Linked DNA regions of Arabidopsis thaliana. The protein of the gene in region 2 interacts with the protein of the main gene of each other region in a pairwise test. Each region holds a gene or a part of one and is shown on either strand. Other genes may lie near its edges.

Evidence for each region.
Region 1: the proteins of CBL5 (region 2) and CIPK9 interact in a two-hybrid assay, tested with the Arabidopsis thaliana proteins (one study listed by BioGRID).
Region 3: the proteins of CBL5 (region 2) and SIP1 interact in a two-hybrid assay, tested with the Arabidopsis thaliana proteins (one study listed by BioGRID).

Annotation. Positions count from the first base shown.
Region 1 is NC_003070.9:61,316-72,719, forward strand, and holds CIPK9 (CBL-interacting protein kinase 9), read right to left. Parts: upstream 6,311-11,404; 5' UTR 6,198-6,310; coding exon 6,009-6,197; intron 5,583-6,008; coding exon 5,520-5,582; intron 5,435-5,519; coding exon 5,363-5,434; intron 5,243-5,362; coding exon 5,135-5,242; intron 5,028-5,134; coding exon 4,947-5,027; intron 4,846-4,946; coding exon 4,792-4,845; intron 4,550-4,791; coding exon 4,424-4,549; coding exon of another isoform or gene 4,418-4,423; intron 4,338-4,417; coding exon 4,248-4,337; intron 4,142-4,247; coding exon 4,016-4,141; intron 3,903-4,015; coding exon 3,795-3,902; intron 3,703-3,794; coding exon 3,586-3,702; intron 3,493-3,585; coding exon 3,436-3,492; intron 3,342-3,435; coding exon 3,255-3,341; intron 3,161-3,254; coding exon 3,083-3,160; 3' UTR 2,852-3,082; downstream 1-2,851. Other genes in the region: AT1G01130 (CBL-interacting Serine/Threonine-kinase), read right to left, coding at 590-634, 735-809, 2,242-2,496; AT1G01150 (Homeodomain-like protein with RING/FYVE/PHD-type zinc finger domain-containing protein), read right to left, coding at 8,800-8,970, 9,525-9,653, 9,726-10,406, 10,627-10,683; GIF2 (GRF1-interacting factor 2), read left to right, coding at 11,268-11,354. UniProt on the Arabidopsis thaliana protein: CIPK serine-threonine protein kinases interact with CBL proteins. Binding of a CBL protein to the regulatory NAF domain of CIPK protein lead to the activation of the kinase in a calcium-dependent manner. Involved in K(+) homeostasis under low-K(+) stress.
Region 2 is NC_003075.7:577,327-586,821, forward strand, and holds CBL5 (calcineurin B-like protein 5), read right to left. Parts: upstream 4,196-9,495; 5' UTR 4,193-4,195; coding exon 4,117-4,192; intron 3,994-4,116; coding exon 3,911-3,993; intron 3,764-3,910; coding exon 3,704-3,763; intron 3,631-3,703; coding exon 3,522-3,630; intron 3,394-3,521; coding exon 3,341-3,393; intron 3,254-3,340; coding exon 3,173-3,253; intron 3,088-3,172; coding exon 2,975-3,087; coding exon of another isoform or gene 2,971-2,974; exon of another isoform or gene 2,749-2,970; coding exon 2,712-2,748; downstream 1-2,711. Other genes in the region: AT4G01410 (Late embryogenesis abundant (LEA) hydroxyproline-rich glycoprotein family), read left to right, coding at 982-1,665; UMAMIT29 (nodulin MtN21 /EamA-like transporter family protein), read left to right, coding at 8,381-8,562, 8,832-8,894, 9,067-9,183, 9,261-9,495. UniProt on the Arabidopsis thaliana protein: Acts as a calcium sensor. CBL proteins interact with CIPK serine-threonine protein kinases. Binding of a CBL protein to the regulatory NAF domain of a CIPK protein lead to the activation of the kinase in a calcium-dependent manner.
Region 3 is NC_003076.8:23,594,429-23,605,059, forward strand, and holds SIP1 (SOS3-interacting protein 1), read right to left. Parts: upstream 4,926-10,631; 5' UTR 4,625-4,925; intron 4,307-4,624; 5' UTR 4,104-4,306; coding exon 2,664-4,103; 3' UTR 2,534-2,663; downstream 1-2,533. Other genes in the region: AT5G58370 (P-loop containing nucleoside triphosphate hydrolases superfamily protein), read left to right, coding at 1-74, 227-318, 395-499, 610-719, 799-886, 995-1,030, 1,134-1,217; AT5G58375 (Methyltransferase-related protein), read left to right, coding at 1,941-2,096, 2,176-2,277; AT5G58390 (Peroxidase superfamily protein), read right to left, coding at 5,327-5,887, 6,329-6,520, 6,619-6,816. UniProt on the Arabidopsis thaliana protein: CIPK serine-threonine protein kinases interact with CBL proteins. Binding of a CBL protein to the regulatory NAF domain of CIPK protein lead to the activation of the kinase in a calcium-dependent manner.

The DNA.
Region 1 (11,404 bases), on a different chromosome or scaffold from region 2:
TGTCGTAGACATGGACCATCTATATCCATATTCTTGGCTATATATCCAGCATTATGTATTTTGTAGTAAAATCACTACTTGATTGGCAAATTATTAACCAATCCCATTTATAACAAAACAAAACTTTATACTCAGAATATACTTGGTTCGTAGATTTATAGCTAACATAACTTTTTTGCTTCTCTCTATTATTCTATCATTGTGTGTTTCCAAATTGTTGTCGATATTGTGTCACTGTAACGCTTTGCCAACCGTAGCCATAAAGTGACAACTTTGTATTCAACTATACTCAAATATCGAACTTCCCGAGTATTTTTGACTAATTGAATTGTTTGAACTTTGACTCATAGGTCTGACTAACTCAAAGTAAGCCAACCCGAGTTTTGAGGATGATCGCATATGGCTATTGGCTAACATATGGATCTAAATCTGTAGCAACTTCTAGGTTTGGCTTTTTGTAAAGAATAGTTCTATTTTGCCAACTCCAGCATTTTTTGCTATTCATTATACATTCAACTTTAGTTAAAAACTTTGAATTGAACAACTTGCTATTTTTTTTTTTTTTTGCTTTTGTTCTTCAACGGCTGCATCAGTATTCCAGACTACATCCTCCAATCCAGATGTTTTTGTAGAACTGCAAAAGAGATTTAACTTTTAAGCATAGAAAACCGAATTACAACAAATAAAATTAGAGGTAACTGAACCGGTTGGTAAAGATTAAACCGAAAATATACCTTGTGAAACTCGAGGGTATCATCGCCGGTTTTCCTAAGCTCTACCACGTGCAACGATGGTGCCACTTCAAACACCTATTATAACCGATAACCAAACCAAAATAATCAGGTACCGGCCGTATTCATGAAAATCTAAAACCGTACTAAACCGGAATGTTATCATTCCTATCTGTTTTTGTTCATAACTCTGTAGCTACAGAGTGCTGACCTTTACGAGTTACGACCACTTTTGTCTGCGAAATTTACTTAAACAATGTTTAACAAAGACACAACAACATTAATTGACACAGAGAAATCAAGAAGAAGAAGAAGAAGAAGAAGAACAAACCTTGTAGTTGTCTTGTTGAAATCATGAATCCTTGATTAAATTTCTATAAGAAGAAAAGTTTCAGTGAGAAGAAGATCATAGCAAAGATGAGAAGAGCAAGTCAAAGAAGATATTGGGCTTGTTGTCTTGTAATAAGTAATTGGGCTAATTGCTATGTTAGTCCCATATAAGTAAAGTGTTGTTTAAGTAAGTCAAGTCTAGGTTAGAGTAGTTGTTGTTAGAGTTCCAATACAAGTAGGAGGGTTGTGTAAGAGTGCCTAGAACTAGGAGAAGTAGTACATGTATGTGTTGTGTTGTAAGAAATCATCAATATCATGAATGTAGTCTTTTATTAAAGAGTAAAAACGAGTTCTTGTGTTTGTCTCTAAACAAAAACAAAACAGAGTGAAACAAAGACAGAGATAGAGAGAAAGTGTAGAAACACAACATGTGTTTACTGATATTGAAGCCATTCATCTTCTAGTAACTCTGCAATACTTATACTCTGCATTTCAGAAATACTGTATTACTTTATTTTGCTTAAATTTAGAAATAATTCTAAGAAGAATGGTTCCGTTCTCACATTGTATTTTCAGATAACATTTTTATCGAGGATATTAACAAAACACGCTATCATATAACACTAGTATGGACTCAAATTTGTAGTTGTATCATAAGTCATAACAAAAAAAAAACAGCTTAAACGAAAACTAACGTCAATAGCTTTTACTGTATCCAACAATATCTCACACTAAACCTACAAAATTCTTTTTTTTTTTTTCTCTCCGAAGAATCTTACTCAGAGATTTAAGCCGTGAGTTGGCCAAAACACTAGTGACATATATTCACGTTCAAAAGTTTATCTTGCAAATCTTGGATTTCTTAGTTTCATTATCAGATTAAAACAGAATTTCAATAATGAGGAAAAAGCATACCTACTACTAGTCTACTACTTTCTGCAACAACAAAACAAAAAAACTAAAACCAAGAAAAGCCCCAAAAGATTACCACAAATTAAGGAAACTTAAAGCCCATTGATTTCAACATCTCAACAGAGCTCTGACTTTGATTAACCTTGTTGTCTTGTTGAACCTTGTCACCGGAGTTTCCAAGGAGAGCTTCAATTATTTCTTTAAAAGGAATAATCTCTTCTTTCTCTTTCTCTTTCTCTTTCTTGTTCTTGTTCTTTCTTCCGTCTACTTTCCATTTGCCACCACCCCATTCATACGACGGATCCATCCACGGCGGCAACACCCTCCTCGCAGCCACTTCTCCGGATGCCGACGCTGTTTCCTTGTCTGAAACCCTAGATTCGATCTCTTTCGGTTGATTCGATCTCGCGTAATCAGATTCTGGTGAAGTGGGAACAGAAACCATTACGATTCTTTCTTCCGGAGGAGGTGAATCCCAATCACCCAAAATCTCTACACTCTCTGAATCTGAACGTTTCTCCATTCTTAAAAACTTTGGAATGCGAAATTTGCGACTTTATGGGCTTTACGGGCTGTTTGATTTGAAAGATTAGACAACTCACACAACTTATTGGGCAATTAACGTTGGTCTGCTCAACACCAACTCCTCACTAGAAACCACTCCGTCATCAATGTGTGACTGTACATCAAAATAAAACTTTTTTTTTTTGGTTGCAAACGTAGATCTATGTAGCTAAGATAACCTCTCTTTAATAATTCTATCATTGTGTTTTCCAAATTGTTATATATGTTGTGTCATTGTAACGCGTTGCCATAAAGCGACAACATCGTTGCAACTTTCAACTATACTCAAATAGCCAGCTTGCAGAGTATTTTTTGCCTAATTGAATTGTTTGAACTTTGATTTATAGGTTTCAAACCGAGTTTGAGGATGATCACATATGTGGCTATTGACTAACCTATGGTGATCTACCTCTATAGACCACTTCTAGTTCTAGTTTGGCTCTTTTGTCAGCAATACTTGTATATTGCCAACTCCAGAATGTTTACTATTCATTATACATGTTCAACATTGATTAAAAACTTTGAATTGAACAACTTGTTATTTCTTATTGCTTTTGTTCTTCAGCGGCTGCATCAGTATTCCAGACTACATCCTTTAATCCAGATGAGAAGTTTTTGTAGAACTGCAAAAGAGATTCAAACATAAAACCAATTTAAACACTAAACTAGAGATGTTAACCGGATCAAAACCGAACCGGTTTTTGATGAAGATCAAACCGAATCACATACCTTGTGAAACTCGAGGGTATCACCACCGGTTTTCCTAAGCTCTACCACATGCAATGATGGCGCCACTTCAAACACCTATTAAACCGATTACCAAACCATAACAATTAGATAACGATATTCATCAAAATCCAAAAACCGAACTGAACCGGAGTATTTTTTTCTTTCTTACCTCTGTAGCTACGGAGAGCTGACCTTTACGACCACTTTTGTCTCCTTTCATTTTTATCTGCGAAGTTTACTTAAACAATGTTTAACGAAGCTACAAAGACATTAGTTGACACAAACAAAATCAAGAAGAAGAAGAAGAAGAAGAACAGACCTTGTAGTTGTCTTTACGGACATTAAAGCCTAATGGCTTTGCGGTTTCTTCCATTTTCGACATTATTTCACTCGCAGATCGTTGAGAAGTAAACCGCGTTTCTTTCTTCACAAGTTGCTGCAAACAACAACAAATCAGATTTAGTTAGATAAAACCTATGCATGATTTTAGAAAATCAAGACAAACTGTAAGTAGAAAAAAGTTCTTACCGCTTGCTTCTCGAACAAGTTTTCAAGACTGAACTCGCTTGAGCTAGAGATAAGTTCGAAAGCGTTCATGGATACAGGTTTCTCCTTCTTCTCAGTTACAAGACATTCCTAGAGTAGCAGCACAAAAAGAGTGATATTAGTTGGTAACAATACATTGGTTTACTTAAACCGAACTATGATATACACAACCAGATGGAGAATTTGGAAATGGCGGTGTTTACCTTGGAGTTACTAAAAGCAGCATCAACATCATCTATGGTTATGTCCTCGTCATCTTGGTCAAATGATGGCGGCTTGTACCCTTTCTTGAACCATTCATCTTCGAGCAACTCTGCAATACTTATTCTCTGCATTTCAGAAATAAGTACATACTTAAGCTCTTGCACAATCTATGGTTGGCAGCATGTCATGTTCACATTTTCACAACTATTACTTCATGTAAGAGGCACTTACGGTAATAGGGTTGGGTTCGAGAATACGCTTGATGACTCTCTTGGCACCTTGCGAGAACCATGGTGGGCAGCTAAACTCAGCCTTGCATATCTAAAGTATATATTAAACACCAAAGATGAGACTAGAAAAGTACTGCAGAAGATCAAGAAGCAGAGGGAGAGATAATTTACACGTACACGTTTGTATAATGTCATGAGATTCGGCTCATCAAAAGGCAAGTAACCAGCCATAAGCACAAAGAGAATGACACCACAAGACCAGACATCTGCTGCTGCACCGTCATAGCCTTTGTCCGACAAAACCTGCCAGCAAATCCAACACAATGCAGTAGACAACATTAAAGGCATATCTCTTATATACATCATAAATAAAGAAGATTCTGCAAATGAAGTCTATATATACGTATAGCATTTGTTAGATTTCCTTCCTTTTTAAAAACGTATTAGCAGTTCTTGAATTCCTTAAAATCTTATTTTCCAAAGAGGATCTACAGAACATTTCATATTCTTTGCCTTTTTAAGTGCTGAAAGTTAGTACATAATACCTCAGGGGCAACGTAGTTTGGCGTTCCACAAGCTGTATGAAGCAAACCATCTTCCTGCATTCAAAAGAACAATGCTTAGAACACTTCATTCAAATTGATATCTTGGTTATATATATCAGAAATTAATTGCCAAGTGAAAAATATAATGGCATTACCCGAACTTGTCGTGAGAAGGCGCTTAACCCAAAATCAGAGACTTTCAAAACCCCATTTGCGTCAAGGATCAGATTTTCAGGCTGCAACAAGGAACAGATGATAACAAAAGAAACTTGAATAAGAACTAAGAAGAATGAATATCGTAATCACAGGAAACAAGAAGAGTGCACAAAAACAAAAGAAAGACCTTGAGATCTCTGTGGTAGACACCTCGACTGTGGCAGTAATCCACAGCATTGATGAGCTGCTGAAAATATCTCCGAGCTTCATCCTCCTTAAGCCTCCCTTGTTGCGCCTATGTATATGATTTAAATCCAAGAATTAACATAAGAGTAAGAAGAGAGAAAGACAGAGAACATATGTCAATATTTGTGAAGAGAAAAGAGAGGAAGATTCTCTAAGTTAGGTTACTTACGATTTTATCAAAGAGTTCACCTCCATTGACAAGCTCAAGAACGATATAGATCTTCGTTTTGCTCGCCATAACCTACCACAGAGAGATGTTTTACACGCTAAGATTCAAAACTTAATTTAAAAAATATCTAAGGAATGATAACTAATTAGTTTCGTACCTCAATGATTTCAACCACATTTGGATGTTTAATCAGTTTCATTGTAGATATTTCTCTTTTAAGCTGCACAACAACAAAAAAATAAAACTTTATGATCATTATATCTTCGAGATCTTGCTCATAACTTCCAATCATACATATATAGCATACAAAACTAAATCTTCAACAGATTCAAATCGAACCAAATCAAAAACAAAGCTACTCGAACTTCAAAACCATATCCATATCATAGTTAATAGTTATCTTGATCAATGCGTACTAAGATCAGCATCGTGTAGATATATACAGAAACAAAAACATTCATACAAAATTCGATATTTTAAAATATTATTGTTAACACTTTAATCAAACATTAACCTTAATAACCGAACACCAACCTAGGAGGACATGTGGGTCCCTAATCACGAAATTAAACTGTTCTTTATAGTACTTAAAAACAAACAAATCCATAATCATTTTACGTGATCAAACCAAACACAATTAACGAACCTGTTCGACCATTTTGTGACGGAAGACCTTTTCTCGGTCGAGGATTTTGATAGCGGCTTGATCTCCGGTGACGGTGTTCTTGGCGTATTTCACCTTAGCGAAGCTTCCTTCTCCGAGAGTTCGTCCCATCTCGTAATTCCCTACTCGCGTCCTACTCGCCGGCGTCGCCTTCCTTCTGCTTCCACTCATTTTCTTTTTCCGATTAAGAAAATCAACGGCTCTAGATCGGCGGCGAATCTATCAATGTGATTCTTCTCCCTCAATATCTCTCCTTCTTCTAGTGGCTGCCTGGTTTTAAGGCTGACGAGAGAAAGTGGACGAGCGAGAGATTTAATAGGCGCGACTGGGAGTCACGCGCGTATTGTGGGTCCCGTATGCCACGTAATGTCAAAAATCATTATTTTGCTCTGTTCCGCGTCAGTCCCGTGTTATTTGTACTTGTGTACGTTCGTAACGTTCATTCTTCATTCATATAAAAAAATTCCATAATTTTGTTCTTGTGTGGTAACTATATACAGAAACTCCTGTTTAAGTATATGGATTTTATGAAAATTTTGGGGTTTTAAATTTATGTGGATATGGTTTTATTTGTAAGGGATGTGATTTGATGTCCTTAATCTTTATGTGTATATGAGTATATCTTTCAGTGATTCATTCCATTCTACTGATGTTCAAAGTTGACTGTTATCATATTATTTGATATAGTTGTATTCTTTTCATGTAGAAATATTCTCTAAATATAACTTTTTTTTTTGTCTTTAGTTAGAAGTTGGAAACTACCTAAGAACAATAAATACATATATCAAATGTTGGTAGTTAAATGATGATTGTTATATCTTGGTCAAATTTTGTTTAAATCTATGATAATATTCGCATATACTTACTTTTGTTTAAATTTGATGTAGCTGTTTATTTTTGTTTGTAACGGTTCTAAATTTGATTATTTAAAGTATATGATAATAAATAAATAGATAATTGAAATAGTTGATCTTTCCATGTGACGATGTGAGTAAAGGGAACGGTATGAATATGAACCCCACATATCCTTCCTGATAAACTCAGAGATTTCACAGAATGTGATAATGTTTTTATTTTTCTTCTTTCCTTTATTTGTTTCTCTTATTTTCTTTCATATGATAATGCCAAAATACGCAGAAAAATTAAAAAAGTGTGGCAGACAGTGTGAGTTGATGATTTATTGCATGACTAGTAATAATGATACAATAATTTTTTAGATATGTTAGTATATTACGAACAAAAGAAAATGCAAATAATGCACAATGAACCACTCGTTCCAATAATTGAGTCCGGTACAAAAACATCACGTCACCATCATATGAAAGCAATTCATTTGGTTATCAATTTGAACTTCTTCATTCCACATTTTTTTTATTTTCCTGGTTATGAGTTGGAACTTATTGGATTATATGGATTAAAATTTAAAACCTATATAAACCAAACTATTATTTGGTTTGATTTTGTATTTACTTTCGGTTTAGCTTGGTTTGTAGATAGTTCGAGTAGACCGAACATCCGAGTCCTACATATATAAGAAAGATTGGCCCATTAACCAAATTTAGGCTTGATTGTGAATTAACATTAGGGCCCAACTAAAATACTTTTTTTTTTTTTTGCCATCCAATAACATTATTATCGCATATGTTCCGCATCATCGTTTACACAAATGATCAAATTGACCAAGTTAAGTTTCTTTTCTCTTTTTCTACATAATATTTGTTATTTAAAGCATTTGTATAAAATTATATACTGATAAGTGATGGTATATTCAATAATTTGTGTTTGTCTTTTTGTGATACAATTAATTATCCTTTATGGTTCCATTTTTTTTTCGTTGACAACGTTGAACAAAGATGGTCAAGGGGCCTAACTGTTTCTCACACAGTTTCCTTTCAGGGTTTAGTATTTGCCGTTTTAGTAACGAAGTTAGAGATTCATACGTATAATTATAAATAGTAGAGTCGGGTCAGATTGTGTTTCTTATCTAATTGTTATATATATAAAATTTGATAAAGCATATAATGTCTTGAAAGATTCAATCGTGAAATATGTGTACAAATATGTAAAATCTAGTTGCACCGCACGGCACCTTTTTTTCCTTCCTCTCCCACGTTTATTCTCGCCTCGTAACAGAAATTATAACTTGGAGTACTATTATAAAATACCTCAATAATTTTAGTTCTAAAAACATGTATATCTAAATCTAAACCATTGTGTATTTTGGAGTTGTAGGAGTTTTTTTTGTAGTAATTTAGTAATACATAACATAAAATGTGTCTTATGTTTAGATTTGCCTTTCATACATTGACCAACCTAAATCGGAGTCGGACCAGCTGGAAACTGGTCTAAATGTTTAATCGAGTTTTAGGTACCCTATCTAAAACCCAAACACAAACTCAGTTTTGCTCATAAATAATCTCTAAAAACCAAACACATTTCGTTAGAAAAACGACTAAAAACCGAGTTTAATTGAAATATACTTTCTAAACCGACCTACACGAACCGGAACCCGACTGCATATATACTTACTTACTCATACACTCTAACAATATAGAATCTATTATTGTCATCCATCTTTTCTTTCACTTCACCTAACTCCCAGTAAATTAATTAATAAAAAGGCGAATCATAACTTGTTTAGATCCTCTTGCAAATGAACCACGAAAGCAGCATGAACACGAATATGAAGAAGAGGACAAGGAAGGAGAAGAAGAGTACGTCGTCAATGGTGTTCTTGTATTCGATGATTGTGAATATATGTGGAGGATTGTTTCTAAGTTATTGGCTTTACAAATACCATCCCACAAATTCTAATCTTTGGATGGTTCCTGTTGGACTCATCTTCTTCATCACTCCTGCGTTTCTTTCCCTCTCCATTTTGATCTCCGATCTCTGCGACGACGATGATGATGTCAATCTCGACCTCAACCAAATCAAGATAATTCTATAAAAGTTTTGACTACTTCAAGTGTTGTCGTTTATTTGGTATTAATTATTATTAACCTCCGTACAAATGGAAGACTTGTGGTTTTATTGTTAAGTTTGTAGATTTTTTCACCTTTGTTTCCGAAACATTTGGTACTTGTGCGACAAGTTATCTCCCCATAGTCTTAAAAGATTAACCTATTTTTAAGTTCTTCAAAATTATATCCATAATTCCCATATGATTCTCTTTTTCTCAATCCTCTGTTTTGTTTAAAGAAGGGTACAAAACAAAAGACTAACAGAGTGGGACGGCTACTACAAAAGACACGTTATCTTCTCTTAATATCAACATAAGGGATACAAAGCGAACATCATCTATAAGGACTACTGTTACCAAAAGATCTACACGGAGGAATCCGAAACTGCGATTACAAGGAAGGACTAACATCAAAGTCGTCACACTACTATACTGCCAATTCAAAAGGTCACTAGGATTTGTCTTAATGTTTTTGATATCAAATGCGTCATTTAATACTTCTAAGGATTTTATGGTGAAAGGAATCACATACGCACCATATTTCTCCATTTGTCCTTAAGATCGGAGGAATTACGAGTTGTGTGGAATATACCTTTTCCCATCTCCAAAATCTTCTTCCAAGGCATGTTTTTGTTGATTGTATCAGAAAATTTCTCCACTCCCTCCTATCCAAAATAAACATATACTATAAGTTTAAGCTAAAAGTGTATTTCAAGAAAAAAGTGTGGTGGTTTTACCCTCAACATCTTCTCTTCGTTGACTGTCCATAGTACCCTTTTTGGCTGATCATTAACAACAGCATAAGCTTCTCCGCAAGATTTCTCCATATCAATGAATTGATCTGTTGACTCGTCTAACTGGGAATTTCGAGCCTTAAGGTGCTTGACCAGTTCTTGTAATTGATGAAGGTTCTCATGTAGTTGCATTGGTAGTGAATTATCAGAACCATTCTCTAGTTGACTGTTTTCTCTCGTCATGACTATATCTCCACTCCTCAGCTCACTACATCCATATTGAACAAGGGTCTTCGCAGCTGCAACACCCCTTGTTCTCAAAGCCGTGGATCTAGTAGCTTGCTCCTTAAACCAACAATAGGGACAGTAAAAGGTTGCAGGATCTTCACAATCAAGCTCAACACACTTCCTGTGAACAGCGAGAGGGCATTCATTCCCAGAACAAGGTACTACACCATCGTCTGCAATATCGCATACAATACATGCGTGTTCGTTCAACGGCTCAAAGCTTCTGAAAGTGTCACTTGTCCCAAGGTAGTGGCGCTTCTTAAGAGGCACATTATCATAAGTGAAAATGTTTGGAGCAGAGTTGACGTCCTCATCACCACCATCATCACACTGAACAATACAATGAGCAATGCGCTTTTCTCTCACAAAGCCAATTTCTTCAACAATTTCACCTATCTAAGATAGAGAAGAAGATAAATCCAAGTAAGAGTGTTTACACAAAATTGAACTAAATCGACCAATTTAAGGTTATCTAAGACCAATTAAGACATAATTTGTTCTAATTACACAGTAAAAAATATCAAATTGTTCTCTAACGTATCACAAGCGACATCCGAGTAAAGACTAAAATTCGAGAAAAAATAAATTAAAGGTTTCTTCTAAAAGGGGTGCTTACATAAGGACTCTTGAGGAGAGCGATATCATCTTCATCAAGCGGGAGATCACTCACCATTTTTTTTCAGATTCCGAGTGAAGATTTGAGAAATTCGAAGGGTTTACGTGAGATTTCTTAACGAATAAGAAAAAGAAGCTACTGTATGTTACCGTTTGGTCTCTCTGTAAGTGTGTCTGAGGTTTCGAAATTTCGAATTTAGGCGAAGAAGGAAGAAACTGACTCAATGTAGTACTTTGCAATGTAACTTTCTCGATGGTCCATGGGCCTTAGAACCGTCTTAGGCCCAAATATGTCCTTTTTTCCCATTGGCCCAAATATATCCAAAACTTTCTAATTTGGTTAGAGGTTGCTCGTTGCTGTATTAATTAATGTTTTATGTTTTCGTTTAGAGTTTTGTAAAGACAAATTAGAGAGAGAGAGAGAGAGACAGAGGCATTTTTGGTCATAAAATCCACACAGAGGTGGTTCGACATCCAGGTGAATCCAAGTAATAAATTGCAGGATTCTCTCTCTATAATATATATAGATATAGCTTGCAATCATTTCCTGCGTTTGGATCGGTCTGGGTTTTGTCGAGGGTTTTTTGGGGAAGACGAAATTAGGGTTTAGTTGGGGCAAAGTAAGTAGTAAAGAAGAAGAAGATGCAGCAGCAGCAGTCTCCGCAAATGTTTCCGATGGTTCCGTCGATTCCCCCTGCTAACAACATCACTACCGAACAGATCCAAAAGGTTCCTTCTTTCTCACCCTATATCTCTCCCTCTCTCTTAATTTGTTCAAC
Region 2 (9,495 bases):
CAATAGTTTTAGTGTAGGCCCAATTTTATAATGGGCTTATAATTGAGGCCCAGGTAGCATCCACAGCATTGTCGGTGACTACAGTGTCGGTGGTGCGGTATCTCAGTTAGTGTGATTAAATAACAGATTCTTCTTAAATGTGATTATTATTTATTTTGGAAGCTTACTAATAATATATGGAATTTGGTCAGAAGTATTGTTGGAGATGTGGACATAAAAGACTTGTACTTTTATTTTCTAAACATTAGAACAAATATGACACATGTGGTATCTAATTAATTTATTATTAATTGCTTTATACAGTTGATAAAGAATTGTGAAATATGATAATTTAATTTTCTTTCTACATAACCGTATTCTGGCATGCAAACAGATATTAGGTTATTGCTAACTTTGACAGGCCGTAACCTGATAAATTTCATTCTAATTTTTTTAAAAATTAACACGGCCAAAAAGTGATAGTTATCACGTTGCACGAAACCATAGTTGTCACCAAATAAGTCAATCATTGACAACAAAGTATTTGATTATGTATAGCCATATGTATACACGTTACATTGGATTTTTCATTTTTAAAAAATTCATCACTCATCAGATCCGTCACGTGAACGGTTGCACCGAGATTTGGAGTCTTTCGAAAGTACTTCTCTATCTTATATTATTACATTAAGTATTATAACAAAATAAAATCACAATGTAAAAACAGTAGTAATTTACGGCTACTTTATAAAAAGATTAGCTTTAACACATAATTACAACTACAAGCTTTCTAAGTTAATAAACAATTAATAAAACTGTACTCTAGAAGACTGTTTACTCTTATTAACTAGAAAAGAGACAAAACCTTGCATCTACTTATCTTCTTTCTTCTCCTCCTCCTTCTTTAGAGTCTTCACTCTTCACCGAACCCTCTGATTCTCGTATAGACACACACATACCTATACATACACACTTTAACACTTATATCTGTAGAGTATAGCCATGGGAGAAGGAGAAGCAAAAGCAGAGCACGCAGCCAAAGCAGATCACAAGAACGCTCCCTCCGCTTCTTCAACGCCAGAATCTTACTCTAAAGAAGGCGGAGGAGGCGGTGGAGATGCTCGCCGCGCAATCTGCGGCGCGATCTTCACCATCCTTGTCATACTAGGTATCATAGCCTTAATCCTTTGGCTCGTCTACCGTCCACATAAACCACGTCTCACCGTCGTCGGAGCCGCCATCTACGACCTGAATTTCACAGCGCCGCCGTTAATCTCAACCTCCGTTCAGTTCAGCGTTTTAGCAAGAAACCCTAACCGGAGAGTCTCCATTCACTACGACAAGCTCTCTATGTACGTAACGTACAAAGATCAGATCATAACACCGCCGCTTCCACTACCACCGCTTCGTTTAGGACATAAATCTACGGTTGTGATAGCTCCGGTGATGGGAGGCAACGGTATACCAGTCTCGCCGGAAGTAGCTAATGGTTTAAAAAATGATGAAGCTTACGGCGTCGTTTTGATGAGAGTGGTGATTTTTGGGAGGCTACGTTGGAAAGCTGGTGCGATTAAGACTGGACGGTATGGATTTTACGCCAGATGTGATGTGTGGTTGAGATTTAATCCATCTTCTAACGGACAAGTTCCTCTTCTCGCTCCTTCAACTTGTAAAGTTGATGTCTAGTCTTAATTTTACTTCGTTATGTTTTCTTTTTTAATCTTTGTGTTTTAGAATTGTAATCTTTTTTTTTTGTGGTCATGTTAGTGATGAGTTTCGTCGAGTCTAGTGTTAAAATAAATTAAAAGGCATAAGCCAAAAATTATAAGTACAAGTATATTACTAATTTTATATTTTACTTGTGATAATTATTTTGTTTCTCTGTTGTTGGACCTGTGGATGTTAATTAATGACATTTGACAATACAAATGTGTTGTCGCTAATAGCGTATCTTGGCATATGGTGAGTTCATCGACACAACAGCTCAGAGTGTTTGATCAGACATATGGCATCTTCAGGCAAATCTCATTTTGGTTTTATCATATATATATTTTTCCCCCATTATTACGGAACTATTTCCTCACGATTATAATTAAATACTTAGAATATTACTATGCTTTTCTGTTTTCCGATTCAATGATATTGTTTTTTTGTAAATCTGAATCGGACGTTAGGAGTCTTCTGAATATAAGTTACATTTTTTGAATGAAGCATCCGTTTAAAACGAGTGACTAAAATGATCGTGACTCCACAAGTCATCGCGTCAAATGTAAAATTTTCATGTGAAACAGTGAAAGCGTCAAATCTAAATAATATTGTGGATGATTGTTGTGAATTTGATTAGTTGACCTGATTCAAAAATTTGATTGGTATATCATGTCAATTTTTTCTCTTTGGTTTTGGCAACTTATATCATGTCCAATTTCTTTTTGTGTTACCATTTTTCTCGAATTTTCACACGTTTGTTCTTTTTCTTTTTCCTCTTTTCCTTTTCCAAAACCCCATTTTGTCTTCACGAACCGATCTTTGCTTTTAAGTTTTCATATCACAGCTTTAGCTTTGTGGTTAAAAACAATTACTTTCTATCCTCGTTAAATATTAAAGATTTCTTTCGATAGTTAATATGTTTATATAATAATTAACCTTCTATATTTCTTATAACAAATTACCTATGTGATTTTCGGATAAAAATATTTTTAAACAAAAACCTCTAGCAAACACCTCATCTGATTTTACCGGAGAAAGGTTGGGAAAATCCTCGGAATGTCCCTGTACAATAAAAGTTAATTTTAGAATAATTATCTCGATTTATAAAACAAGAAAAATAAAATAAAAGAAGATAATAGTAATATATGCATAAACACACATATATAAAAGCTGTTTTTGAAAGATGTATATATATTACTTTTTTTGTAAAACGAAAGATGTATCTAAAACATGCAATTTATCAGCGAATATTAAGAAAATGGTTAGGAAAAACAAACAAACGAATTACTTCAAGAAAGGGATAGTCATGTTCTTTAGTGTCAAAGGATAGGTGGCAACAAAATTCTCCCATTCTTCCAAATCTATTATCCCATCTTTTTTCCAATCGGCCTCTTCAAATGTCTTTGCCAAATATAAGTAAACAAAAATAGTAAGTAAAATCACTATAATGTTAAATCAAGCTCATAAACTTAAGCGTTATACACACCTTAGACACGATAGAATCAATGATACTCTCGGATAGCATAAGTTCTGATTCCTCTAGAACGTCTATTATCATCTCTTTCACCTATAGATTTCTCCAAGTCGAGGAAAACCGTCAAATATAATTAATCATGACTTTTTCTTTTTTTTGAGACAAAGTTTACATACGTACCTCCTCCGGTTCAATGAATCCAGTCTCACGAGTATCGTATAATCTAAATGCAACTGTTTAATTTTAAACAAGTGATCAGATGTATTTGTGGTTATAGTTAATAACATTGATCTCTAGCTATATAGAAAATAATAATAACATGGAATAAATGAATAAACACATTAGAAGTGATGAAGCATACATATGGCCTTATCTCTTGGTGATGAGTTTGGGTGAAAAATGTTGAGTGTGTGTACAAACTCTCCAAAATCTATAGCCCCATCGTTTCTCATATCGAATAATCCAAAAATCTGCATATTTCAGAGAAACAACATCAATCGAAGTTTATTTATTTATTTCGCTTAATATAACAAATTCAATTACCCGTTCTGCAGAAAGACTGCGCTTTTTGGTATTCTTGATCAAGATAAATTGAAATTTTTCCTGGAAAAGCCAACCAAATTTGACATGACAAAAGCACAACTTTTCTATAACTAGCTAGTATAAAATTTAGATGTTATATTATTCACATTTTGTTGACCAAAAAAAAATTATTCACATTGTGGAAGAAAAATTAGTTTGGACTCTAACTTTGGTCAAAAGATTGTCGTTGCTAAGACAAGAAGTGAGTTTGATGAACAATCCATGCAAAACTTCAACCTCAGCCTCGCTAACTGCAAACCCAAAACAATTTAGATGTTATCTGATCTACAAGCTCGTGTAATAATATTCTTTCTCCATGCAATATAATATATAGGAGGAGGAAGTGGTGGATGATTGAAGTAGACGTAACTTACAAAAGGTTTGAGAAGCAAGAAGCGAAATGTCTTCTTGCCTTCTTCCTTCTAATTGCTTGCTGCAAACACATCCCATTTTACTATATCAATATATATTTCAAATTCCACATACATTTAAGTGTGTCTATATATATAGGCATCAACGTAGGTGCAAGAAATTGTGGAATATAAATCTATTTCTAACCGAACAAATTCGAAAGTGGAAGGGTTTGTACATTGCCGGCTTAGGAAGCTGGAGACAAATGGTATAATTTATATCGGAATTTGATACTAGTTCTTTTTCTATGAAACTTCATTTTCTTTCCTGAGTTCTTTAAACATATTCTTTTTCTATGGTTTATATTTTCTTGTTGATTCAAATTTTTTTCTTGTTACTTGATACTCAAAGCGGGATGTCCATGTCCATTAGCTCAGTCCAATAATATCCATTTCGATATTGGACAAATAGTGTCTATGTCCACTAAGGTCCATGTCCATTAACGTTCATGCTCATTAAAGCTCATGTCCAACTGGGCTGTCCAATGAGCATAACATAACCAAATTTTAACACAATAGTATTTGCTTCATATTTCAACCAAATTATCAAATCCAAAAGCAAATTTAAACAACAAAGTATTAAATAATTTAAGTATTAAATCCAAAAGCAAATTTAAACACAATTCAAGTATTTAACAAAGTATCAAATCCAAAAACAAATTAAAAGCAAATTTAAACTTCTTCTTCTTCTCTCTCGCCATCTTTGTCTTTATTAAGGAACTCAATATTATCACCTAAGTACTACAGAAAAGAAGAACTCAATATGCATTAAGATTCAAATTGATTGAAATATGACAAAAGAAAAGAAGTCAAAAGCTTACCAATCTCTTCAAAGTTGCATAGCCAATTCCTCGCACATATCAAAGCTTGAACTGTAGAAGGAAGAAGACAACTCCGATACTTGTTTAAAACCCGACTTCCTATGCTGAATGAAGACTCTGAAGCTACAGTTGTAATGGATGAAACACGCCCACGGGCCGCCCGTCCATTTTGAGAGCTCTATTGTTTTATAAAAATGGATGAAACTTTAGTAGTATAATAGTATCTCTCAATGTTATTGACTAACCCAATAAATTTATATACAAAGATATAACAATAAATATTTACTTTCTTTTCAATCGATCTCGTTAACTCTATGATATCCTAAAATTATTTCAGTTATTGACCAATCATATAGAACCAGAACCAAAAAAAGTTGATTACTGGTATTATATTCTTTTACAAAAAAAAAACGTTACGATAGCAAACAAATGTTATATGATAATTCAGATTGTATCTCAGTCTACAAGTATTTTGTAGCGAGAATGCAAAATCTGAATTCTGTTTTAAAAGTGAAATTCTTAAGGAACTTTTTTAGGAAGAACACATCAAATCACCAACTAACGATGTGAGCATGCCAATTATCACGACTGTGCATTCAGGATCTTGATTGATTAACGTTTCTTGCCTTTATTTTTAACAAGTTTCCCTTGCAGACCTTGTTAAATGTTTTGTATTCATATTTTCTTTTATTCTCGAAAGCATTAATCACATACATATACCACAAAGAAAAGCTACATGAAAAGTAACTAAAATTGAATTCAAGATACTTAGGGAAATGTTTGTGTTAGGGATTAAGCGAAAATGTGTTTATTCGTCTAGTCATTCTAATTTTTGTACTTGCACCGTGTATACATGTTATTGAACAAAAAAGCTGGACAAGGCCCACAACTTTATTTGTTGGGTTAATATGTAAACTTATATGGTCTTTGGTATAAGTCGATACCTTCGCATTAATATGTAAACTTATATGGTCTTTGGTATAAGTCGATACCTTCGCATTTTCATCACTTGAAGGTGTGATTTAGTCATAAAAGCTTAACCTTGATTTGCAGAAAAGTGATCACATACACTTGAATCTAGCGACAAGTAAACGAACAACTTTTGGTCACGGTCGCTGATTTATGTCGCTATCGACATGTAAACAAACAGGACCAAAGTCATGACATCACCATTTGTCGTTAATTTTGTTTGTTCCTCTTTTTTTTATTATTTTTTTTTTGAATATCTGACAGTTCAAGTTCGAATGTCCTATATTTTTTAGAGATGAGATCTACATGAAGTTAAATTCATGTCATTTAGAGAAAAAATCCCTTCCAACAGGCGTCGAACCCATCAGCTCTATCTCAAAGATTTACTACTGGACCAATACCACGTTGGTTTTGCTTCTTCCTCTTCTCGTGAGATTCTTCTACTTCAATGCTTCTGATTCTTCTATGTTCTTAATCTTTCAACAAATACAGTAGTACCTTTAGGATCTGCCCAGAAGGCTGCGGTATCTTTGATCTCCCTTACCAGGCCCCAATCTTCTCAAATCCCATAGCAGTAAAACAATTAAGAATCGTTGGACTTAGGCTTATCTCAGAGATTTTAATGTAATGGGTTATAGATTACGACCGGCTTTAGATTCCGAGGCATGGCCGACAGTTTAGATTCGTAATGATTTAGATATAGTGCAGCCATTGTGCTTGAGCTACGTACATACGTCCATGTCAACGATCCACTAGCTAGTCTTCTAATTAAATTATTTGTTTTTCTTTAGTATTACTTTTATTTTGTTGGTCACTGAGTCATTAGACTATTTTGTATTAGTCACAGTAATGACACACTTCTCTTTGATCTTTGGGCAAAACCCTACTAAGAAAATTACTAGGGTTAAAACTAGATATGGTGTATGAAAGCATTTTTTACTTTCACCGATTTCTCCAAATTCAGGTATTGTTAATTTTAGTGTAGTGTTCATAGAAATATTTTTTCTCATAAGAAATGAAACCGATTTAGAGTAAAAAGTAATTAAGCATATCAAACAACTTCTAACAGACGCAGAATTTAAAATATAGCATTTTTGCGATTCCTAGTTCCGTTTTTTTTTCACTTTTTCTAACAGGTTAGTTGGATCTTCACGTTTGCGTGTTGCAAACTAAAATTTGACTATCCTGTTCAGGACAAAATTTGTCTCTTATATCTAGTAGAATGTCACTTGTAAAACTTCAATATCGTCGCGAGCATATTAGCTAATAGATCTTTGTAGAGTTGTTATTTTTTGCCCTTTTTTGTTTCGCTAAAATCAATGTATGAGTTGTTGTGCGTTGTATATATATGCATGTCCTTGTCAATACATGACAAATAAATTGGACATTCATCATTTATACTTTTTTTTCCAACAGATTCATACGTATTATATTTGTGTAACTTTTGTATAGTTTGGTCTAGTTGTAGACACGTCGGTATCAATTAACTCATTAAAACAACATATGAATATGAAAAAGAAAAAAAAATATAAACTTGTCGTAGTAGAATTTTCAACCTTTATAGATATCTTTTGATCACATTTTTAATATCTCTTTCCATGTAAAATAAAAGTTCGACTTAAACCAAACAAAGAAAAAATGAAGCTTGACAAGCAATATATAACATGGTATTTTAAGATGGTTTACAAAAAAAAAAAAAATTAACATATTTTAGAGTAAATTATTTGGTGTTCTAAAAAAAGAGAGAGTAAATTCTTATGTAATAAAATAACTCGTGAATGGGACATATATATTATAATGATATATAACAGAATTTGTCTGTTAAATTATGGTTTAGTTTCATAAATTAAGGCATATGAAATTATGGTTTAGTTTCACAAATAATTAAGAGACACTATATATTGTATTAAGTTTTTATATAAGTTTCTCTTTTTTACAAGGTTCATTTTTTTCATAATGGCATTTGGTTCAATTTTCGCTTTAAAATGTTATTTTATATATATATCTATATCTATATATATATATATACAGAAAAACTTTGATAAACCAACTTTTATTCAAATTTATCTTTTTTTTTCTGATGGAAAGTATAACTTACTCACCTTTTTAGTTTCTTATTTAAACTACTAAATTTAAATCCGGATTTAAAGATTCCTTTGAAAATGATCTACCACCAGTAAATTAAAATATATTCGACATAATTTTAACACTAGTGATAAAAATTTACTACATATGTTGATATTATACTTAGGTTAAAAAAAAGAAAGATATCCTATGTGGCAACCACCTACAAACTTTATTATAAATATAAGTAGATGGCAAGGCGTGTGGTTGCCAAACACAAAGAAAAACATTCGACATTACAGAAAAGAAAAAACTATAAGAAAATCTTAATTAATAAAATAATATATTCAGGAGGGCGAGAGAGAGAGAGAGGGATGATGAAGGAAGAACAATGGGCACCAGTGATAGTAATGTTAATATCAAGTGTTGCAATGGGATCAGTGAACGCTCTCGTTAAGAAAGCACTTGATGTTGGTGTTAACCATATGATCTTTGGTGCTTATAGAATGGCTATTTCTGCTCTAATCTTGGTTCCGTTTTCTTATATTTGGGAGAGGTATGAACATTCTGATTCTTATTCGTCAAAACTCAGATTTTGAAACTATCTTTACATACATTTTGCTAGTTAATGAAGTTCTCTGGTTATGTTCTCGTATTTTTATAGGGAATATATATATATGATTCAATTTTCAGACGTCGAAATTTCAACTACGTACCTATAAAGTTGTAGTATTATTGGTGTATTCTCTCATGTATGTATGTATATAAGTTTTCATTATATATATCTAAGTAATGAAGTTTGCTCTTTAAATGAGTTTATTATAGGAAAACAAGGCCACAACTAACGTTCATGCTTTTGTGCGAACATTTCATCAGCGGATTACTTGGGTTTGTCCTTTTCACTTGTTCCTGTTATATACTCTATTACGCAATTTCGCCTTTTTCTTCTAAATGATTTTATTTACTTTTAAGAAAGGAGAAACTGTCACGTTATCTCCTATTAATCACAAGCTTTACTTTGTTTCGTTTTTTATGTTAGTTTTTTTTTTAAATCACGCAGGGCAAGTTTGATGCAATTTTTCTTTTTACTTGGGCTTTCGTACACGTCAGCAACTGTTTCGATGGCTCTAGTTAGCATGTTACCTGCTATCACCTTTGCGTTAGCCCTTATTTTCCGGTAATGCAACTAATTTAATTAGTAACATATATATATACATCAAAATTTTCTCGTTTTTTTTATAAATACTTTTGCAGGATAGAGAATGCGCAAAACCTAAAGAGCAAAGCAGGCGTGCTCAAAGTAATGGGAACCCTAATTTGCATAATGGGAGCAATGTTGTTGACATTTTACAAAGGCCCAGAGTTATCAAACCCTCATTCTCATCCACAAGCTCGTCACAACAACAACAATAACAATGGTCACGACCAAACAAAGAAATGGCTTCTAGGCTGTCTTTATTTAGTCATTGGGACAGTGTTGTTGTCTCTA
Region 3 (10,631 bases), on a different chromosome or scaffold from region 2:
ATTGGAATTCTTTGCTGCTGCAAATGTTTCATCTTCATTTCCACCTCCTGATGTACCTGAGATTGCATTTGCAGGTACTGCGTTCAATATGTTGTTCCCACCAGGATTATAGAAATATCAACAAAAAAAAACTTTTTCTGAGTTTTAGAATATGCATGTTAAACTACTTTAATAACACTAAACTATATTAAAAAGTTGGGATATTTGGTGTCTTAACTCTGATCAGGAAGGTCAAATGTTGGCAAATCGTCTCTGCTAAATGCTCTTACCAGACAGTGGGGTGTTGTAAGAACATCTGACAAACCAGGACTGACCCAGGTATTCCCCTGTCTGAGAACTACTTGCTTGTATGGCGTACATGTTTTTGTAATAACAAAGGGTTTATGAAGTGCAGACCATCAATTTCTTTGGTCTTGGTCCGAAGGTTCGCCTTGTTGATTTGCCAGGCTACGGCTTTGCCTTTGCAAAAGATGAAGTTAAGGAAGCATGGGAAGATCTTGTGAGCATCTACCCCTGGCTAGAGAATGATTATGTCTAAATTGCTTGCCCAGTTTCGTGTATTACTAAACAGGTTAATGTTCCCCATCTGTTTAACTTTGATCAATGCAGGTAAAGGAATATGTCTCGACAAGAACCAGTCTTAAACGGGTATGCCTCCTTGTTGACACCAAATGGGGTATGAAGCCAAGAGACCAGGAACTGATTAATCTGATGGAGAGGTAAAATAATTGATACTGCTCTTAATTTTTTTTTAGGTCATGTAATGAAGTTTCCTTAAAGCCGTAAACTGAATTGCAGATCGAATACAAAGTATCAGATAGTCTTAACCAAGACGGATGTGGTTTTCCCAATTGATGTGGCACGTCGAGCAATGCAAATCGAAGAGGTCTTACTCATTATACTCTAAATGAATATAGTGAAGGCAATGTATAAAAATAATATGTTGGTCATGTTCTTACTAATGTCAACAATTATTTTTCTTTAAAAAATGCAGAAGTTGAAGGCAAACAGATCAATTGTCCAGCCTCTGGTATGTATGAATATGATTCACCTAGTTTGTTGTTTACTTCCCTCTGTGGCTGCAGTAAAAGATGAAACCTAAGAAGCAAGTGGTTAACGTTAAATGATTGCAGATGATGGTGAGCTCAAGATCAGGAGCAGGTATAGGAAGTTTAAGAACTGCCCTTGCTAAAATTGCTAGGTTTGCAAAGTTTTAGGTTCTCAAAGCAATCCTCAAAACCAAGGTCAGGATTGTCTCTTACCCCTTTCCATAGTATGTAATAATGATCAATCAAGATTCAGATTCTTATAAAGAATTATTTGGCTCGTCTTTTCTTTATGGCAAAATAAAGGATAAGGAAGAAGTCAAAATGTTGAGATAAAGAAGAATGGTGTGACGATGATGATCCGACTAAGTTAGTGAAAACTGTCAACAATCACTTATGTTTTTGTTTGTTTATTATCTTTTTATTTGTCAAAGCCATCACTTGAGCAAATGAGCATAAAATGTTTTTCTCACGTTCTGACAGATTAGGTTTGCCCAAACCACTAACTTTTTTATTTTTTATTTTAGTCAACAAAAAATTATAGTAGGCCAAATTATTCTGTCAGAATATAATTTGTTAACCAGAAAGAAAGAAAAAAAAAAGTGAACTTCAAATATAAAATAGGACATATAAGGTTATTAGGTATATGAAATTGAAAATTCGAGGTGACTTTAGGGAATGGCCTACCTAATTTGACACTTCTTCAACAACTCCACCCTTTGAATTTTTCTCTTCTTTACCTTTTTTTTTTTTTTTTTTTTTTTGTTATTTACCCTTTTTTTTCCCTCCTCATCTCTCTCTCTTCTTCTTCATCAGCTCCTCTATCTCTCTCTTTCCTGATTGTCTTCATCAAAAACTGGAAAAAGCAAATCAAGAAAAGAGAAGAAGAAGCAGATGTGTCCGTTAAGGCTTATCCTCATATTCCTTTCAGCGACTCTCGCTGGCTTCTTCGTCCTCCAGAAGCTCAACTCTACCTCTGACGATCCTCTCGATGATTCCTTCACCGACGCTGAACACGCCGACGACGATTCAGTCTCTGGATTCTCCAAGGTTTCTTCTTTTTCCTCCGATCTTCATTCTCTCTCTGTAATTTGGGGATTAATGGGTTTTTCTGATTTTATGGGCTCAGGTGGGAATGGCAATGAAGTCTGGATTTTGGACATGCGTTGACATGGCAAGTGGTCGCTATCTCTGGAACAATCTCTGTTCAAATGCCAAACGCTCTTCTTGAGTTTTGTTACTCTCTATCTGTCTCTCTATTGTCTGTAACTGTTTAATTGAACTGCAATCGACGGCACCAAATTTACATATTGTCTCTGTACTATATACTATAGATCTTGTCTTCACTACTAAATCTCAATAAAGTCGAAGCCTTTATCCCAGTTTCAAAGAGAGTGGAGGATATGGCTTAGATTCTTGTTCTTCCTGTAATGCTGTAGAGTAAGCAATTGAAGTTCTCAATTCAAAAGTCTTGCCATTGAGAATTTCTTTAAACGACTTCTTTATATTATGATGGATTCCTTTTTTCCACAAATTAAAAATGTAAGAAACTCATATACGATTAACATCAGTGATTCAGTGTTAAGCAAAATTCCAAAAACTTGACAAGAACAAATTTCAAAACTTCAATGGTTCTTCCTGTTCTTGTTGTTCTTGTTGTTGTTGTTGTTGGTATTCTGTCTCTTGCTGTGAAGTAAGCTCATCTTTCTCACCCTGCCAAACCCATACAATATCTGACAGAGCAGGTCTAAGATCCTCTGCTACTAATTTCTGATACTCGAGAGTATCTCCATTTGATTTCTTCACTTCCACTAAATGAAAGTTTGGCGTCACTTGAAATATTTCTGCATCCATCGACAGAATCCCTTTTCTTCCTTCTTTTAATCGTTCCAATTTGAACAAACCTGCTTCTCGCTTTCTTATGCTCAGTTTCAATCGCTGTGCTACTTCCTCCAGCTTAGATATGATCACTGAAGCAGGTTTCTGTGATGTGAATCTAGATTCTCTCTTGTTATCATCTCCAAACAGTCCTGCCAGATCAAACCCAGCAGACAAGGCAATTAAATCAAAAGCGTTCAAATTTGTAGGTTCGTCTGTATGGTTTTCCTCCGTGACCCTGTCTCCGTTTTCACTTGGACCTGCTCCATTCTCACTTGGACCTGCTCCGTTCTCATTTGTACCTGCAGTACCAGCTTCCACAGAGTTTATCTCTTTGACTCGTTTCTCCATCTTTTTCTGTTTCATATGTAAACCTTTTCTGAACCAAGAACTCTCCCTGATTCTTGCGATGGTGATTCTAGTTTCAGGGTTAGGGTCTAGCATCTTACACAACAGCCTCCGTACTTCTGGAGCAAACCAGCTTGGTGCCTTAAAATCTGCTTTTCCTATCTTCCTGTACATCTCCATCAGATTGGAGTCATGGAAAGGTAGATAGCCTGCCAATAGGACAAACAAAACCACACCACAAGACCAAATATCTGCTTTTGTGCCATCATAGCCTTTTCGATTGATCACTTCTGGAGCAACATATGCAGGTGTACCACAAGTAGTGTGGAGGAGGCCATCTTGTCTCTTGCAGTCAGCAAGGGCGCTTAACCCGAAATCAGATACCTTGAGATTCTCATTATCATCTAGCAATAGGTTCTCCGGCTTTATGTCACGATGATACACCTCTCGGCTGTGGCAAAAATCAACTGCGTTGATAAGCTGATAAAAGTATTTCCAAGCAACATCATCTCTCAATTTCCCTTTGGCAACCTTGTTGAAAAGCTCTCCACCTTTACAATACTCCATAACAAAGTAGATCCTCGTTTTTGTTGCCATGACCTCATATAGCTCCACAACGTTAGGGTGTCTAGCAATCCTCATAACAGAGATCTCTCTCTTGATCTGTTCGATAAGCCCAACTTTCATAACCTTTTCCTTATCGATCATCTTGATAGCAACACTCTGGTTAGTAAGAATACTCCTTCCATAATACACCTTGGCAAAAGTACCTTGACCCAATAACCTCCCAACATCATATTTATCAGTCAAAACACTTGGCTTATTTTCCATCTAATCTACAAACTTATAACAGGCTCCAAAAAAAAAAAAACTACTTGATCCAGAGATAGCTCAGAGTTGGAGGTAGCTCATGAGTCATAACCTCATGAGCTCGTGCAGCTAATCCCCTAGTGATAGGAGGACACATCCTCCACCATTTCTGAGTTTCTATGCCGAATATGAATAAACCTCTTAGAAACTTGGTAGAATTGAGCCTGTCAAGTAAAAAAAAAAACAAAGCAATGAGATCTACTTCCAACAACAATCAGTGTATCGATCAAATCTAAACTCAATTATATGTATCGATCACGAGTCAAAACGCAATCATCAATCAAAACACACACACAAATTCTCAAACCACTAAAGCCCTAAACCAGAACCGATCATTCAGGTTATATAATTCTCCCCCATTACCGCATTACCTCTATATTAAAGAGAAAAAGCATAGATCGGCAATCAGAGAACCCTAAATTTCAACATGTAATCAACAATTCGCAAGGAGAAAACAAAACATATATGATCAAGACAATCACCGGTGAGGAAAGAGGATTCTGGGAATGAATCCGAGATCTAGTAGAAAGACGTGTAGATCTCTCTATCCGCCCCTAAAGGCCCCTTCTCTTCCTTATTTCTTTCTGGGTTTACCAACAAAAATGGAGGAGAAGACGGAAGAAGAAGAAGAAGAAGAGATGAAAACGAAGTTAAACGTCATTGGCGGTCCACGCACATCAAAAATAAAAATAATTTTTTAATTGAGGCAGAAGAGCAGAGGCCACTTGTTCCTCTGTGTCCTTGTCTACCTTATGACTTTTTACACTTGTCCTCTCATTCGCCTATTCACTTTTCATCCGACGGCTCACATTTTGCCATCATATATTTTTATGATAGTTTGCTCACCATTTTTTTTTTTAATGATATTTTATCTACTAATATTTGAAAAATCGTAGCATAGAGTTTATAACAAATCATCTACTCAACTAAATTTAAAAGTTTTATTTCTTTCAATCAGCCAAAGTAAGAAGAGAAAAAAAAAAAAAAAAAAATAAGAAGAGAATATAGACAGTAATTTATAATGGAAAACTGCATAGTCACAAACTTTTACGTGTTTATTGTTTTTTATATAATGAAGATGTATTTTAACAGTTGACGAAGAAGGGGAATGCACATGAAAAAACAGTTGACGAAGAGGTGATTATTGAGCTCAATGGGCTTGGGATAATATAAAAGAGAATCATTCAGTTGGGCCTCCGACAGTTTTGGCGGATCTGACCATTGGATCCGGTGAGGGGGCTGATGTCTCCCATCTTAATCATTGCCCTTGCAAAGTCGCGGTAGAAGGCATTGAGATTGTGGCTGTAAGCTATGACGAGCGAGTCGGTAGGACCATTATTAAAGAGGACTTGGTCTGACGTAAGCAAACCTTTTTTGCTCAGAAGTTGCTTGTAGAAGCCGTGGTCGAACCTATCGGGAGAGCGGACGTCAAGATTGGCTTTCTTGTTGTCTCCGGAGCCACTGGTGGCAGGACAGTTCCTCCGTTTAGAGATGGCGAAAGAGGTGTCGATATTGCTTGCGTTGTAGATTCGGTTTCTGAATGTAACACATTGGGCTCGTCCAATGGTGTGAGCACCAGAGAGGGCGACCATGTCACGTGTGGACAAACCTTGTGCTTTGAAACGGTTTATGAGGTTGCTAAGGGTAGTGATCGGAGGAGGGATGACTCCGGAGTTCGCGGCCGCGAAGTTCGCCGTCGTAGAGTCTCTTCTTCCAAGTTTCACGCTCCACCCCGGTCCACCTAGCTGTTTAGTCATATTAAGAAGTGTTAAACATTTAGATAAATGTTGGTCGGCTGAAGGGTTTGTAACAAAGGGAAAAACAAAAAACAAAAATTGGTCCGTGTTCATATGCTGTAAAATCGACCAAAATGTAAAAGTATCTTGTTAGGAATTCGTAAAGTAATGGTAGATTTATGCTATTTTGGCTAGATGTATGTGAGAATGATTTAGAAAATCAATGATTTACAAGAAAATCAGAAGGAAAAAGATGCAAGTTGCACTACAATTTTACCCTTCTTTTTAAGTTTTGAAAAGGGACAATTGATTAATTACTAGAAGATTCGAACTCTGGTTCTAGCTAGGTAAAATAAATGAATCCGAATCACTAAGCCACTTAACCATTCAACAATTATTACATGCATCTATGTAAGACATGACAAAGAGTAAAAGGGTAGAGGTGCTAACGAGGAGAACGGAGTCCCGAGCAGTGATGGCTAGAATGTCTGCGCATGAGACGATGCCCGGGCACATTTTCTCAACCTTAAACTTGATTTTGTCGATCACTTCGAACCCCCTCACAGAGTTATTGCTGGGTCCTGAGGTTTTCTCTCCCAAAAAAGACGGTGTGTCATCCAACAGTAAGGATCCGTCACACCCCTATCAAATCATATGCTTAGCATTTACTAAGTTTTAGGAGTAATTCATGGGAACATACAAAGCATGCTTCGTTTTTGCATTGAAAAAAAGTGCCTTACATTGACAAAACAATCATGGAAGAACAAACGAAGGAGAGAAGCACCCATGCGAGGCTCTCTGGCCACGGCCCGTTTCACGACTCGTCTCACGACAAGGAACAATGATGGACAGCTTTCCTTGTAAAAGTCACGGTTCAGCTGAGCCTCGGACTGTGACGCCAACATCATTATCATCATCAACAACACCACCTTTAACATACTTCTCTGCTTATCGTACTCCACTAATTCTCTTTGCTTCTTCTTTTTAAGACAAGATATAGCTATGAGTTATGAGTCGTTGAAGGACTCAGAGACTTGATGAGGGCTTTATAGAGAGGATAACTTACACGTAGGTTATTTTTGTTCACGTAGAAAAGTTTTTCTCGAATATCCACTATATTACTGGGTCCTTACTCCTTAATTACGCCACCTTTACCATATTCATGCATGTTTACATTTCCCTTTTTTCAGCACATTTCCCTTTTTTGTTTTCTACCAAGCATATCTTATTATACAAATTAAAACTCTAATGTTCATTATTCGTCGGGAGTATATACGTTTTAAGGTGAGCATACATTATTAAACTTGATATATCCATAACCATATCAAGATTTGCGATATACTATATAATAAACATATATAGTAATGTACATTATTATTTTAGTTTATGTTATAGATAGATGACAGTAATTATAATTCAAAGTTGTGATAATAAAATAACTAATCAATCCACACATTGGTTTTGATTTGAAAGCAAATGAATCTTTACATGATATTAAAGTAGTAGAATATGTGCCATCTAATTTGAATCCAAAGTGGTTCGATCTAAAGTTTTACATGCTAAATTTGAAGGGTTTCCTATCAAAACCTATTGCTGGTAAGTGGGTTTGATCCATATCCATTGATAAATTACCTTGGTCTCATTCTGTTTTCAGTGTAGGATTTCTAATATGTGTTCTCTTAAGGTGATGGATGGATCAAATTAATTTCGGATCAGATTAACTAGACCGGTTTTTGGGTAAAACCAAATTCATCATGAGCATGTGTTAAGGATATGATATATTGATAAGTTGATGAGACTAAGAATACGAAAGGACTTGTGGAATAATTGTATTGAACTCTTGTAAATATGAAGTTACAAAATGCATTCATTAGCTAGAAATATAACCAATATATTCAAAACTACCTACATCTACAATGTCTGCTAGGACTTTCTACAACGTTGATTGATATATCTCGGTTAGTGATTCTGCTCGATCAATCTCGGTTTTCCATCTGGCAACAGTTTTGTTTGATACAATAATTGTGGACATAGAGGATCTGATTGAAAGAATGTGAGGGCAGATAGGTCATATCACTGGGGGAGCGGGGAATAAGTTTGGCAGAAGCAGCTGACCTTCCAAGTTCCATGCATGCAACCACGACATTCCCAGCCCTTGATCACCTTTCATTATTTATATCATATAATTAATAGTTACATAAAAAAGTATCAAGGATTAATTTGTTCAAAACTAAAATTCTATTTGACAACTACTTCACTTCACTCCAGAACATGTATTGTTATTGTACTTGCCAACCCTAGAAAACAAAAACATGTCTAACACCGGCCGCCACTAAATTAACCGTTAGAGAATGGAAATAATATATAACCTACGCGATTTTTTTCGTTCAGACTCTAATTAATATAACTTATAAGTTTGATCCGTTTGTGGTTCCCACACCCACCGATAGAGAAAGAATTACTGATTATGGCGCAACAACTATATGACATGTTGTTTGAAAAGTTTATCAGATGAGAAACTAGGCCACTAAAAACGAATAATATCATCGTTGATCATATATACTCGTGACAAAATCAATTATCTACGTCCTACAACTCAAATTCAAGATAAACACCTCGAATTTTTTATTAAGTCACAGAGGAAAAACAGTGCGTTTGTCTTGCAAAAAGTAAAAAGTTGAATTTTCAAAGGTTGGGGAAATAAAAGTAGATTTCTTTTAACATGAAAGGAAAAAAAAAAAAAACTGATGGTGAGAGGTTAACAAACGAACTATTACTAGGTGGAGTTGTCTATCACTTACAATTTGCATTCTAGCTCTCTCCCAATTACTTCAATCAAATGTATAAGAACAAACAAAAAAGATAAAATTATCTCACGTGGATTGTTGAAAAGTTGAACCACGCATATATATATATATATATATATATATATATATATATATATATAGTATTTAATTTACGTGAAGGGTTTTTGTTTGAGATTAATCGAGGTCCACTTTTGTTTGATTATTAACTTTTGCTGGAGTGTTTGTTTTAATTCTGTTAGTTGATCGATCGAGTTTGTTAATTATTTTTTCTTTTCAATTTCAATGAAGTGAGGTCCACTTTTTTAGGATTGAGTGACTTTTTTTCTGTGTTTGATAATTTAGAGTGACTTGAGCCCATAGTGGTAACATGGGATATTATGGCTTTGGAAAACAACATGTATATTGGTAGAGAAACATTCTTTAAATCTCGGCAAACTCTAAACCTGTTTAGTCTCTCTTAATTTGCTACTTAGTATATTGTATGTACTTTTCTTTGTTGGTTTTGATGTGTTTCGAATTCGATTCTAATTAATTAACGTGTCGGCGTGTCGCAAACTCGCAATAACATCTGAATGATGATGTATATTAAACTCATATACAGACCAAAAGTGTTCACCGGCCGTGACGATACTTTCCGTCGGGAATTAATCCCATTAGAATCGAAAGTTCTCCTACACGTACGTACCACTAGACTAATTAATGGAACATATTGGTAAAAGATTAATAATTAAGTAGAAGAGAGCGAGGAGAATTGTGGGACCTGGGTAAAACACGACATGTTATCAAATCACGACTTATCAACACAAACCCTATTAGACCACTTCTTTCTCTCCAGTCATTTTAATGTCATGTATATCGTAATATCAATTTCAAACAGTTTATTTCTTTATATATATATATATATATATATATATATATATGGGTGTTACTACATATATATATCACCAACATAACAATAATGTAATTAGGCCTACTTATAGCATAGCTTATGTATAACATTACTCTTTTTTCTTTTCTTGACACAGTATAACAGTATACAAGGGTGGTAATATGTGGGAAAAGAATCAAAAGGGTGCCAATAATCCAAAAGCGACCGAACAAATTAAAGAGTTGTCAAAGTAATATGATGTGATTGTGAATGCGTCCAGACCAATTTCAACTCAAAGCGTACACATATCTACTGATATACATGCAGTGAGACCAGAAACATTATGTTTATAAGTTATAACAGCGGACTTCAATTAGACCATCAAAAGCACAATTATTTGAGAATTTCAAATGTTTAATTTAAACACTATACATTTTTTTCCTTTGTCAAATAAAAACACTATACATTTATTATTCAAGTGTGATGTGTGTATATACTATATAGTAAGAATGCATATGTCTCTTTAAAACAAAATTTACACATTAATTTATAATTCACGGCTTTCATGAGTCCTATCATGAACTTCAACAGTTAAACATAGATCGACAAAAAATAAGAGTTACGATGATCAATTTATGTGGAGATACAAAAGGTAAATTATTGTTGATTATGAATGTGGTTCGTCATTGTATCGTACTCTTTCTAGAAAATTAGGTGATTCATTTGTTAACAATATATAAAATAGTCCGTCGTGAATAATGAATGGTCATTTACATTTTACGGTAGACTATAATATGTAATTTTGTATATATGATAGAATCTTGTAAGAAATGGTGATATATAATATGACTACGGAATAACACAGTTACACAAGTCGTATGGTGGTCAATGATCATACTAGCTCATCTAGTCAAATTATCGAATTTACAAAAATCGTGGGCTGATAATAAACAAACTAATATATAGAGGAACTTTTTGTGAATTTTTATAAAAGGGGCCCTTCCTCTTATTGGGCCATAAACAAATGGGCCTTAAATAAGCGAAATGGGTGACTTGAGAGGTTGAGCCATATCTCATA